Danio rerio: one gene and its partners. The protein of the gene in region 3 purifies or fractionates together with the protein of the main gene of each other region. This does not show direct contact. Links are inferred from orthologs where the notes say so. Each region holds a gene or a part of one and is shown on either strand. Other genes may lie near its edges. The genes, in order: arid1b, arid2 and bcl7a.

Region 1 (3,656 bases), on a different chromosome or scaffold from region 3:
AAATCATGTCCAGTCAACTGAATTTACCACAGGTGAACTCAATTAAGCTGCTGAAACATCTCAAGAATGATCAGTGGAGACAGAATGTACCTGAGCTCAATTTAGAGCTTCACCGCAAAGGCTGTGAATACTGATGTACATCTGATTTTTCAGCTTTTTATTTTTAATACATTTACAACAATTTTAAAAACTTTTTTTTACACTGTCATTATGGGGTATTGTGTGTAGAATTATAATCAATACTTTCCGGATGCACTGTATATATAATCACACTTATATATGAGCCCTTATGAAGGAGAAAATAGAGGCTAGTGCAGAGCGCTTGTGTGGTTTCTAGCGGATGCGAGCAGACTCAAGCAGAGTAAAGCCGTCCAGCCGGGGGTCCGAGCTCAAACCTACCCATACAGCTCAGCGTGAGGCTGCCCTTGGCCTTGCCCAGAACTGTAGTGAGGGTGATGGGGCTGAGGGAGAGAGAAGGAAGCTGGCGGCCGCCCCCCAGGCCCAGAAAGGCCTGGGTAAACAGGGGACCTGCCAAAAGGAGGCCTGAAGCAGGGGGAAGAGCATTAAAGTCTCCTTGGTGTCGGTTTACTTTCAATACAAATGACAACTCAAAAGTTTAGCGAGTAATTACACATTTTGGCCCCGTCCCAAATGCTGCTTTCAGCATTATTTGGTGACTGAATAATCCGTCAAGCGGAGGCCGACCAGTGAGAGATAAGCAGAATGATGTATTGAGGGTGCGAGTTATAAACAAGGACCGATCTGAATCATAAATGTTTATGCTGTGATAAAACAGTAATAATAGAGGTTACGAAGTAGTAAACGTCAACAAATAACGTTAAAAAAAAAACAGCAGTAATAAAAATATCTAAAGAAAAATATGAATGATATTATAGAGGTATGATTAAATGTGAAGTATTTAGACCAGGGCTGCCAAAGTTAACATGTTAATAATGTGAATTAATTTCATAGGCACTAATTTTAATAAAGTGTGATTAATCCTTGTGTATTGTTCAGATGGACTACCTTGGCTGCAGCAGATGCAATGATATTATGAACACCTAAAACGAGATGCTAATTGTCTAATCCAATTCAATGATTTATGCTATGCTAACCTAAGCTAATCGTTTCCACTGACTAGTATGGTACACAGTGCTACACAGTGCTGATCACCTTTATCAGGCTTGCGTTTCCACTGCCAAAAGGGTACCAATGGCGTGGTGTGCGACAGAAAGTTTCAGTCGACGTCATTCTCGCTCAAGGAACTCAATGTTAAAATGTTAGGCTATACAAGTCGTTAACATATCATAGGAGCACTTCTCACAACATGGAGGCTTAATACACATAAATACTTGTGTATAAATTATCATTACTGACCTTTAAATGAACATAACTTCATTAGAACTGCAGATCATTAGCTATGTTTCCATTTAAAAATTGGATTATCGCATAAAAGACGTGCGAATAAAGCAGTGTTTCCATCCAACGAGTCAAAGCGAACAAAATCGTCACTTCCTGGTTAATTGGCGCCAAATATCAACAGTAAAAACGGAATTTGCAGCAGTCAATCTTTTCTTCATCTAATAAATCACTTGCGCCTCAGAAGGCAATCCTGACACGCAGTAAACACATGGTGGCGTTTGAAGGTGTCAGATGCGGAGCACAGTCGCTCTTGATTCTGGAGGTCATTAATAATATAATAACACTAATACTTAAACAGTAAGGCGTTTTAGAATGAACGAAACAACATTGCAGATGTTTTATAATGTGCTTAGCCTGATGGTTTGTCCATTCATACACATTTTTATCATCACATGATTTCTTTTAACAAAATCACATAACTTTGTTTAATGCGCATAATGGAGTTTGTGCGGTAAAAGTGTTTCCATCGTAGTTGCGCATCTTTTTTATCGAATAAAAAGTTTATCCTACTCAGTTATGGGCATACGTTTTTATGCGCATTTTCGAAATTTATTCGCATCATGGCGTTTCCATCAACCGTTTTTTTATGCGCATATGCAAAATGCGCATAAAAATAGGTGGATGGAAACATAGCTAATGACAGTGCGGAATAGCCAACTGTAACATCTGCAATTATATAAAATAAATAAATAAATGCAACACCCATAAAAACAACATGCAACATATAGCCTAGCGTTTGTCCGTTTCTGAAAGGATCAGATGTCAGAACCACTTTAATAATCAGGAGCACGTTATTATCATCAGCTCAAGAAGTTCGTTATTACAAATATAGACACGTGGCGAGCTCTCTGGAGAAAGCGAAACCGCTCACACTTCTAGACGTATCTGGCAGATTTTGTTCTTCTTGGCTTTGTGGCTGTTCATCAAGGCAACAACAAAGTCTGTTTAAGCTTTGGTCGAACCGTTGCTTTGTTATTACATGTATATAGTATTATGGTTTAATGTATTTGTTTTCATTCTCCTGCTTATGCACAGGCTAGTAACGCTTCTCTGTAAATCAATAGTGTTTAGCTGCACGTCTAGCTCCACCTTTTGGTACCCTTTTGTCATGCTAGGTAGCCTTTGCAGAGGGTACCCAAACAGTGGAACAGTACAGTTCGATTTTTGGTACCTTTTGACAATGGAAACGGCTATAAAAGCTTGATGAACCATACTGTATCATACCGTACCACGCAGTGGAAACTTGCCATAAAAGTGCCTGCCCAAGACCCAGAGATCAGCTGAATGGAACAAAAACTGGTAAAACTCAACTATTAAAGTCTTGAAAAGCCGTAAATAAAACCTATTTCCCAAAACAAAAAATAAAACTGGAGTCAAGCTGAAGAAATGCATTTAATCGAAATTAATTAAGGCTCTGATTTACCTGGCCTGGCTCGAGGGGACGAGGTTCTGCTGGGCAGATGCAGGGCCACTCTCGTGGGGTTTGCGGCCAACGTTGGGTGGAGGTGGACCCATCCCAGGGCCAGCAGACTGAGGCATGTTGGGAGAGGTTGGAGCAACACTGCTGGAGCCCGCTGGGTACGGCCTGCCACCGGCCGCATGTCCTGGACCTCGAGCTGTCGTCATAGAGCCACAGGGTTGCCCTGGACCCTGGCCATGCATTGGACTGCTGGCATTCATGCCGAGACTGTTGCCCATGCCTGGACCAGGGCCACTGTAGTTGGCACCCGGTGCACCGCCATAATTAGCAGGACGCGGGTAGTTACCTAGGAATAAAACAAGTTCATTAAATGTAGAAGCAACAAATAAGGAAATATAATAAAATAAAAAAGTAATGCATAACCCCTTTAAAAGGTAAAATAATTCAACTTCAAGGACTAGTTCATCCAAAACTTAAAATTCTGTCATCATTTACTCCCCCTTTACTTTTTCTAAACTTATTGTTTAACAATAAAGAATATATTTTGAATATATTGAAAAACTTGGAACCATTGACTTCCATGACATTTCTTTTTCCTGCTTTGGAAGTCCATGGTTACAGGTTTTCAAATTTCTTCAAAGTAACTTCTTTTGTTTTCAACAAAGTACAGAAAGAAACTCATAAAGGTTTGACACCACTTGAGGGACCCCTGATAAAGAAGGGACTTAAGCCTGATTTATACTTCTGCGTCAAGTGACCGGCGTAACCCACGGCGCATGCAACGCGCGTGGCTGTGCATTTATACTTCTGCGCG
Region 2 (3,656 bases), on a different chromosome or scaffold from region 3:
AGGAGAAATAAAACACCCCCAAATACACATTTTTGTATTTATTTTATTCTATTTAATTTTATGACGTCTGGATTTTAATTGATTCATTTCTAAAAAAAATTGTTTTGTACTTTTTTTACACTGAGTTAATCGTCAGCAGCAATTTACAGTTTACTTAACATGCATATAATGTATAATACTGTGTGTATTGCAGTTTTTCATGGTCGACTACAAATGTTTACTAAACATAATATTATGACAAAATATTAAATACAGCACCACAAGGGTACTGACAGCTATTGAAGATGACAAATGCAACACTTGAAACTATGTTTGACTTGACCAGTGCACCTACAAATTAATTTGTGCAAGGGATAATGTTTTCTTTCTTGTGTACATTTATATTGTGCTTTCCATTTAATATCATTATCATGTAGGACCCATTGATTTTATTTAGATTGAATGAAGTTTTCCCTTAAGCCTTCTTTAAAATTAAATAACTGTTCGTGTGTGCAGCAGCCTGTGTCAGTGCAGACTCCGCCTCCTGTGGATCCGGCTGCACAGGGAACCAATCAGAGTTCTCCAGCACCCGCCCTCTCTCCAGAGCAAACACGGAAACCTGGACAGAACTTTAAGTGTCTGTGGCAAGCATGCAAACGGTAAGAAAGCATGCTTTACGGATGTACTTCGCAATGTGAATAATAGCCGTATTATAGTTCTTTTTTAATGTTAGTTTTAACAAAAAAGTAGTAATTGGCTACAATTAATTAAATTTGTTGATTGAATAAAATCTTTTGGTTTTAAGGGTTGTTTTACTGGCATAAACTAAGAAATGAATATTAGCTAAGATAAGAAATGTTGGCTTCAGTATAACTGATTTTATTTCTGTGACTGTTTCAGGTGGTTTGACACGCCATCACAGGTGTTTTACCATGCAGCGACCCTTCATGGCAGTAAAGACTCATACCCAGGGCAGTGCCAATGGGAGGGATGTGAACCTTTTCCTCGCCAGAGATTATCCTTCATCACACACCTACAGGCAAGATCCTGACCCTCTGTTGTAGTGATAATAATGACATATATTTTTCCATAGTTAAAGGCCCTTGAAATTAAAATAAAAGTAATAAGATGTCTTAAGGATGTCTGTAATCTAGTGTGCTTCAAAACAGTGACGATTTACGTGTAGAATATATAAGACTGATATAAACATCCAAAGCTTGCAGTTTTACTTCAGCTTCTGACTCCGCCCCTTACTCAATATTCAGTTTAAGTTGGAAATACATCATCATACTAAAATAAACTCCACCCCTAATCAATATTCAATTTTATTTGGAAATGATTATCATACAGAAATAAACTCCGCCCCCTACTCAATATTCAGTTTCAGTTGAAAATACATCATCATACAGAAATAAACTCCGCCCCTACTCAATATTCAATTTTATTTGGAAATGCATCATACTGGAATAAACTCCGCCCCTACTCAATATTCAATTTTATTTGAAAATTCATCATCATACTGAAATAAACTCCGCCCCTACTCAATATTCAATTTTACTTGGAAATTCATCATCATACTGAAATAAACTCCGCCCCTACTCAATATTTAATTTCAGTTGGAAACACTTCACGATATTAAAATAAACTCCGCCCCTACTAAATATTCAGTTTGTTGGAAATACTTCATATTAAAATAAACTCCGCCCCCCTACTCAATATTCAGTTTCAGTTGGGAGTACATCATCATACTGAAATTAACTCCGCCTCCTACTCAATATTCAGTTTCAGTTGGGAGTACATCATCATACTGAAATTAACTCCGCCTCCTACTCAATATTCAGTTTTAGTTGAAAATGTCATCATACTGAAATAAACTCTGCCCCTACTCAATATTTAGATTCAGTTGGAAATGCATCCTCTTGCTAAAATTAAGCTCTGCTCTTCCATTACACAGACAAACCTGAATCACAGAAATGTCTAAAAAGAAAAGCAAAACAATATAATCTGAATTATTCCACTGTTTTGAGCATCTGTTTGTGTGTGTGTGTTTTGCAGGATAAGCACTGCTCGAGGGAAGCACTCATAGCTGCACTCAAACTGGAGGAGCAAACGCAAGGCAGCAACCCCAACACTTCCAAGTGTGTATAGCATCTTAATATCACAGAGACTGCTGAGTGTGTATGATTGTGGTGATAATCTGACTGTGTTGATGCGCAGGTCTCCTCCAGCGGCGGTCAGCAGTCCTCCTCCTCCTCCCAGACCCCCGAAAGCACTCGTCAACCACCCCAGTGCAGCTCTGATGGCGTTACGCAGGGGCTCCAGGAACCTCGTGTTCAGGGACTTCACAGTGAGTTTACAGACCAGCATTTACCATGGTTATTTTGCTGGATCGCGTTGACTGTTTACATGTACATAGTGTTGTCACGATAGTATTTGCAAATAAGTTTATTCAGTACAACAGGAAACAATTTACAATAAAGGCGGATTTATACTTCTGCCTCAAACGGACGCGGATACTACGGCGTTGACGCATAGCCCTATGCCGTGGCCGTCAGCGTCGCTGACGTGCACCTCTCAAAAAAAAAAATGTAACTACACGACGCAACAACGCATAGCGCAAGCTCTGTGATTGGTCGGCTTGGTAGCGCTGACAGGTCTGGTCGGGACCGAGAGCCGCGCGAATGGCGCGACCCCGATGGAGCGATTGTTTACAAGTGTGAGTCCTGTGAAGGAGCTCCGGATGGAAAGTTTTGTGTTTACCTCATAGTTAAAGTTGTTGCACGGCCGCCGGTTCCTGCCTCAAAATGAGCAAGTTTGAGCCACTTGTACATTTCAGGAAGCGTTCAGGAAAAGCAAAACAGCAGCGAAGAAACTCGACACAGAGGAACACAGCGTTGCATGCGCCGTGGGTTACGCCAGTCACTTGACGCAGAAATATAAAACAGGCTTAAAGGCTCATTAGGAAACTTTACTTAGTTAATGCATTTAAATAAACATTTAGAAATAGCAATATTATAAAGTTTACTTAATAAAAAATACAGCTAAATTAAGTAATTAACCCCATTTAATAAAATTATCACTTGATTTTAGTGCTTTATATGCATTAACTGAGAAATTAACATCAGCTTCATGTTTACTTGTGGCCGCATGTTTGCCTCATTCATAAAAGGCAGAACACGCAGGATTCAGCACGTAAATGCACTAGTTACTCCCCAAATACTTGCAAGTAAGTGTCTGGTGTACTTAGAGAAGAGTAGATTCAACTTTATAGTAACTTTCACCATGTGTATATGATATGAATAAAACACATCAGCAAATTATATTTGTATGGATTGTTAGACTTTTTTGTGTGTTTGACAAACTCTAAATGTCTTGTTTTACTAGTACTTGTGTGTATTTACATGTCTAAAACATAAATTAAGCATTAGGCGGTTAAAACGCTGCATAATTGTGATATGACGACACGTCTTTCTCAGCGGGTTAAGTTAGGTTAGGTTAAGTCTTTTCCGACGACCCCTTACTAAGAGCTCTGCTTAGAGCTCTCTCTCTCTCTCTGGGTCAGCGCCAGACACTGTGCCAAAGCTCAGTTTGATTTTCTCAGTTGTGGCTCTAAAGGAAAACGATCTAACGCTAACTTTTCAAGCTAGATAACGAATGAAACATCAGCACCAGAGACT
Region 3 (3,756 bases):
AAACAAACAAACCAAAAACACAGACAAGTGGATAGTAAGCCTCTAGAGGATTCAATGCACAAACCACTCTTATGATCCTGACCAGATGAAGGCTGTTTGGAAGGATACTGGTCGTTTTTCAAGTCACTGCTGTCATTCTGAGAAGCGGCCATGGGCTCAGGTGCTGGACTAGTGTTGTTGCTGGTTTCCTGCTTCAATGGGGAAGAGTCCGCAATCGAGCTCTGGTTACTGTTGTCATCTGTGGGTAAAAAAATAGAAACAAAAAAAGTTTTAATATCTGAAAATGTCCATGCATTTGTAACTGTTAATAGGTGGTTACAGGTCGGAATAGCATAGCAAATAACCAGTTCACAGAGTAAAACTGTTTCATCAACTCCCTCTATTGGTTAAGAGGAAAAAATGCACATTCAAAGCTGCCATCATTAATAATTATAATAATGATTTTTTTCTAATAAAAAGCAGGTAACACTTCAAAATCTTAGTCATGCATATTAGACCAACTGTTTGAGGATCACAAAGAACACAATTTGAAATTCTCACATAAATTGGTTTAAAGACTACTGCATGTAATACTAATTTGAAAAAGGTAAAACATTGAGATGTGTTTAGGTGTACAGTTTTACCATGCATATCCATCATTCCAGGAGAGGAGCTGTTCTCAGGGGTCGTGACCTCAGAGCCATACTTGTCATCTTTGCCTTTCTTCTTATTTTTGTTCTTCTGTGTGACATAAATACATATTGCAATCAAGGCATATGAAGAAGATAGTAAAATATGTTGTGTCTGTTTTAAATACGACTCATTTTAGTTAACTTATTTTATTTAAAATAAATATGAATTTAATCTCTGTTAAAAACAATAATACTGGTCTGTGTTATGCTACAACTGAAATATGTTTCCCCCTCAACGAATACCACTACTAATTTACCTTTACTAAATTAAAAAAATAATAACTATAGAATTACTCATTAAAAAGTCATTTGCGTCATATTTTACCTTGACTATTTTGTTCCAACTTTCAAATGAATTTGTTGGTTGTGGTCCATAATGTTACAATAATTATTAGGTTATCAAAACTGCAACAGCTGTGCGTTATTGTAAATAAATGTCACTTACATCATCTGACTTGGGCTCCGTCACTGGTACCCACTTGTAGATTCGCAGTGACGTGTCACCAACAGTCACCCATTTCTTCTCCCTGGAGATGCATGTTATTGTTAGATATCAAAGACAAAGGAAACGCCAGACAAATGAGGACAAACCACTAAATCACTTACATTTAGAGGCATAAGAAATCTCAGATGAGCCATTATTTAGGCAAGATGCATTTGCAGAATATGCAACTGAACAAATTATCGATATCAATAGTAAATAATTATTATCATAAAAATAAATACTAATAATAATGCAGTTCACTAGCTCACAGATGTGTACAATTTTAATCGCACGTTGCCACAAAAACACGATTGTTTCTCATTTAACATGTATACTTTTATAGAATAAATATTGTTTTGGTAATTATTGTTAGTCCAACAAATAATTTGTCATGGTTTGAAAACCCTTAATTCAACTTAAACTTAAGTTTAAACGAAATCCCCAGCAGTTGCTTGAAGTGTAAAAAAGTGTATGTGAAACTGCGGCTCAGGGCTGAGTTTAAAACCCCGCGCGTGGATCAAACTCTCCTCACGCGCCGCCGCTCAAAGCGCGACTCTCTCACTTTCAACACGAGATGAACGAGTCAAACGCCCGTTCACCGGCACTTTCTGTTCGGTACGGACGGTTCACTCTAGTTTCCTCATGTCAGCCCGTTCGGTTACTATTCAGCCGGCATTACAGGCTCTAACAGCAAAGCCTTCATGTGACTGCAACGAAATGGCTTCTAGGTTCAACCCACATAAAAATTTAATGGAAGAAAAAACGCGATCTACATTTTCCCAAACTATGTTTTCACACAGCCGACAAAGGAGCAGCCGCGCGCAGAATCGCAGAAACAGTACATCTGAGTGAAATTGGAGTGGAATAAACGCTCTCTTCGCTTTCATTTCATTGTTTCTCGGTGTCTCTCCTCCCCCACAGGCTGTCTGTGCTGTTCGTTAACGGATAGACGCTCTCTCTTACCATTTCCGCACTTTTTCAATTGCAGCCATAACCCGCTTGATGTCATCTTTCGCCCTGCTCCGCGTCTCCGCTCGAACCGACCTGCCCGACATTACTGCTGTTGGTAAAATATCTTTTTGCTCGCTGCCTGTTTAGACACAATGCGAATGCACACAGCACAGGAGAGAGGCGGGGTTTGTGCGCCTGCGCTGAAGCCAAATGCCCTCGAAGCATGAGAGACACGGTCAATGCGGGTACGCGTTTCGCTCCTTTGTTGGCGAACAGAGCAAAGAAAACGATATTTTATCAGATTGCTGAGCTAGACGAGCGAATCGAAACCAGCACCACGACATCAACACACGTTTTATAAATGTATCTGGAAAAAATGGAGACTTCAATCGACAGCATGTTGACAAACGACATGTTTTATTTTCGTATGATTTTATCTCTATGCGAAAGAATTGAACGCAAACATATAACACAACAGCTCGCTAACCACACAATAACAGTCCATCTGTTTTAAAATACATTACTTATTGACAACGCATGAACATAAGCAGGGAAATGTAAATATATTATGACTCCTGTCCGTGGTGTTCTTGATGGAGCTCCTGGGTGGCGACAGAAAAGCCCAATATATCTGAGGCAAATGCGTCCATGGTGATTTCAGCTGGAAGCACACTTTCCAACAGAGACCCTGAAAGGAGAAAGAGTAACGTTTGTTGAGATCAAAAGATTGCTACATTTTGAAAATCATAATGTATTTTAGCCAAATAGTCTTTAACATTGCAGAGGTTATATATGTGAGTGCATTATTAGCAAAGACGCTAATTTGCACATTCACTTGCCTATGATTTAACCCAAAACATAACCAACAATGTAAAGGCAAAACATGTAAGATGAACGTGTAAATGAACATGTTCATTTATTAATTTATTCAATTTTCTTCAGCTTTGTCACTTTATTAATCTGAGGTCGCCACAGCGGAATGAACCATCAACTTATCCAGCATATTTTTAACACAGCGGATCCCTTCTAGCTGCAACCCAGTACTGGGAAACACCCATACAAACTCAGAAACACTCACACAAAAGACAATTAAGCTTACCCAATTCACCTATAGCGCATGTCTTTGGACTGTGGGGGAAACCCACGCCCACACGGGGAGACCATGCAAACTTCAGACAGAAATGCCGACTGACCCAGTTGGCACTCAAACCAGTGACCTTCTTGCTGTGAGGTGAAAGTGCTAACCACTGAGCCACCGTGTCGCCTTTTCATAGTGTTATATATTTTTTATTATTTTCTGGTAATGCTTTCAAAAATGTTTAAGTCCAAAGAAATAAGCAGTTTTAGTGACAAGGACCATGTCCTGTGTTCCCATGCTAATTATGTCAAATACCCTTGACCACCCTTGGTTTGGTTTTATAGAAAACATGTAGTGGGAAACACCAAAGATGTTTAACATGTTTTGTGTTTTGTTAGAGCTCACAAAGCAGCATTATAACAGAACCTTAAAATGCATTTAGCATGATAAAACATGTTGGTGCTTCCCACACAGGGCCGGAGCAAGCTGAACTGCCGCTCTAGGCAGAGGACAATCACGCCGCCCTCAACCCCAATGAGAAAACGAAAGTGACCGGTTATGAAAATGAAGTG

Evidence for each region.
Region 1: the proteins of bcl7a (region 3) and arid1b purify together in Homo sapiens (affinity purification with mass spectrometry; 4 studies listed by BioGRID and IntAct, counting the BioPlex papers as one, with this or other methods). This does not show direct contact. The link is inferred for Danio rerio from reciprocal best matches to the Homo sapiens genes BCL7A and ARID1B.
Region 2: the proteins of bcl7a (region 3) and arid2 purify together in Homo sapiens (affinity purification with mass spectrometry; 3 studies listed by BioGRID and IntAct, counting the BioPlex papers as one, with this or other methods). This does not show direct contact. The link is inferred for Danio rerio from reciprocal best matches to the Homo sapiens genes BCL7A and ARID2.

Annotation. Positions count from the first base shown.
Region 1 is NC_133195.1:5,084,660-5,088,315, forward strand, and holds part of arid1b (AT-rich interactive domain-containing protein 1B), read right to left. Parts: intron 3,189-3,656; coding exon 2,846-3,188; intron 544-2,845; coding exon 400-543; intron 1-399. UniProt on the Homo sapiens protein: Involved in transcriptional activation and repression of select genes by chromatin remodeling (alteration of DNA-nucleosome topology).
Region 2 is NC_133179.1:1,979,110-1,982,765, reverse strand, and holds part of arid2 (AT-rich interactive domain-containing protein 2), read left to right. Parts: intron 1-495; coding exon 496-638; intron 639-879; coding exon 880-1,018; intron 1,019-2,034; coding exon 2,035-2,117; intron 2,118-2,196; coding exon 2,197-2,326; intron 2,327-3,656. UniProt on the Homo sapiens protein: Involved in transcriptional activation and repression of select genes by chromatin remodeling (alteration of DNA-nucleosome topology). Required for the stability of the SWI/SNF chromatin remodeling complex SWI/SNF-B (PBAF).
Region 3 is NC_133180.1:42,613,603-42,617,358, reverse strand, and holds the start of bcl7a (B-cell CLL/lymphoma 7 protein family member A), read right to left. Parts: upstream 2,276-3,756; 5' UTR 2,211-2,275; coding exon 2,119-2,210; exon of another isoform or gene 1,280-2,118; coding exon of another isoform or gene 1,278-1,279; intron 1,199-1,277; coding exon 1,117-1,198; intron 721-1,116; coding exon 624-720; intron 239-623; coding exon 83-238; coding exon of another isoform or gene 65-82; intron 1-64. Other genes in the region: cfap251 (cilia- and flagella-associated protein 251), read right to left, coding at 2,673-2,794.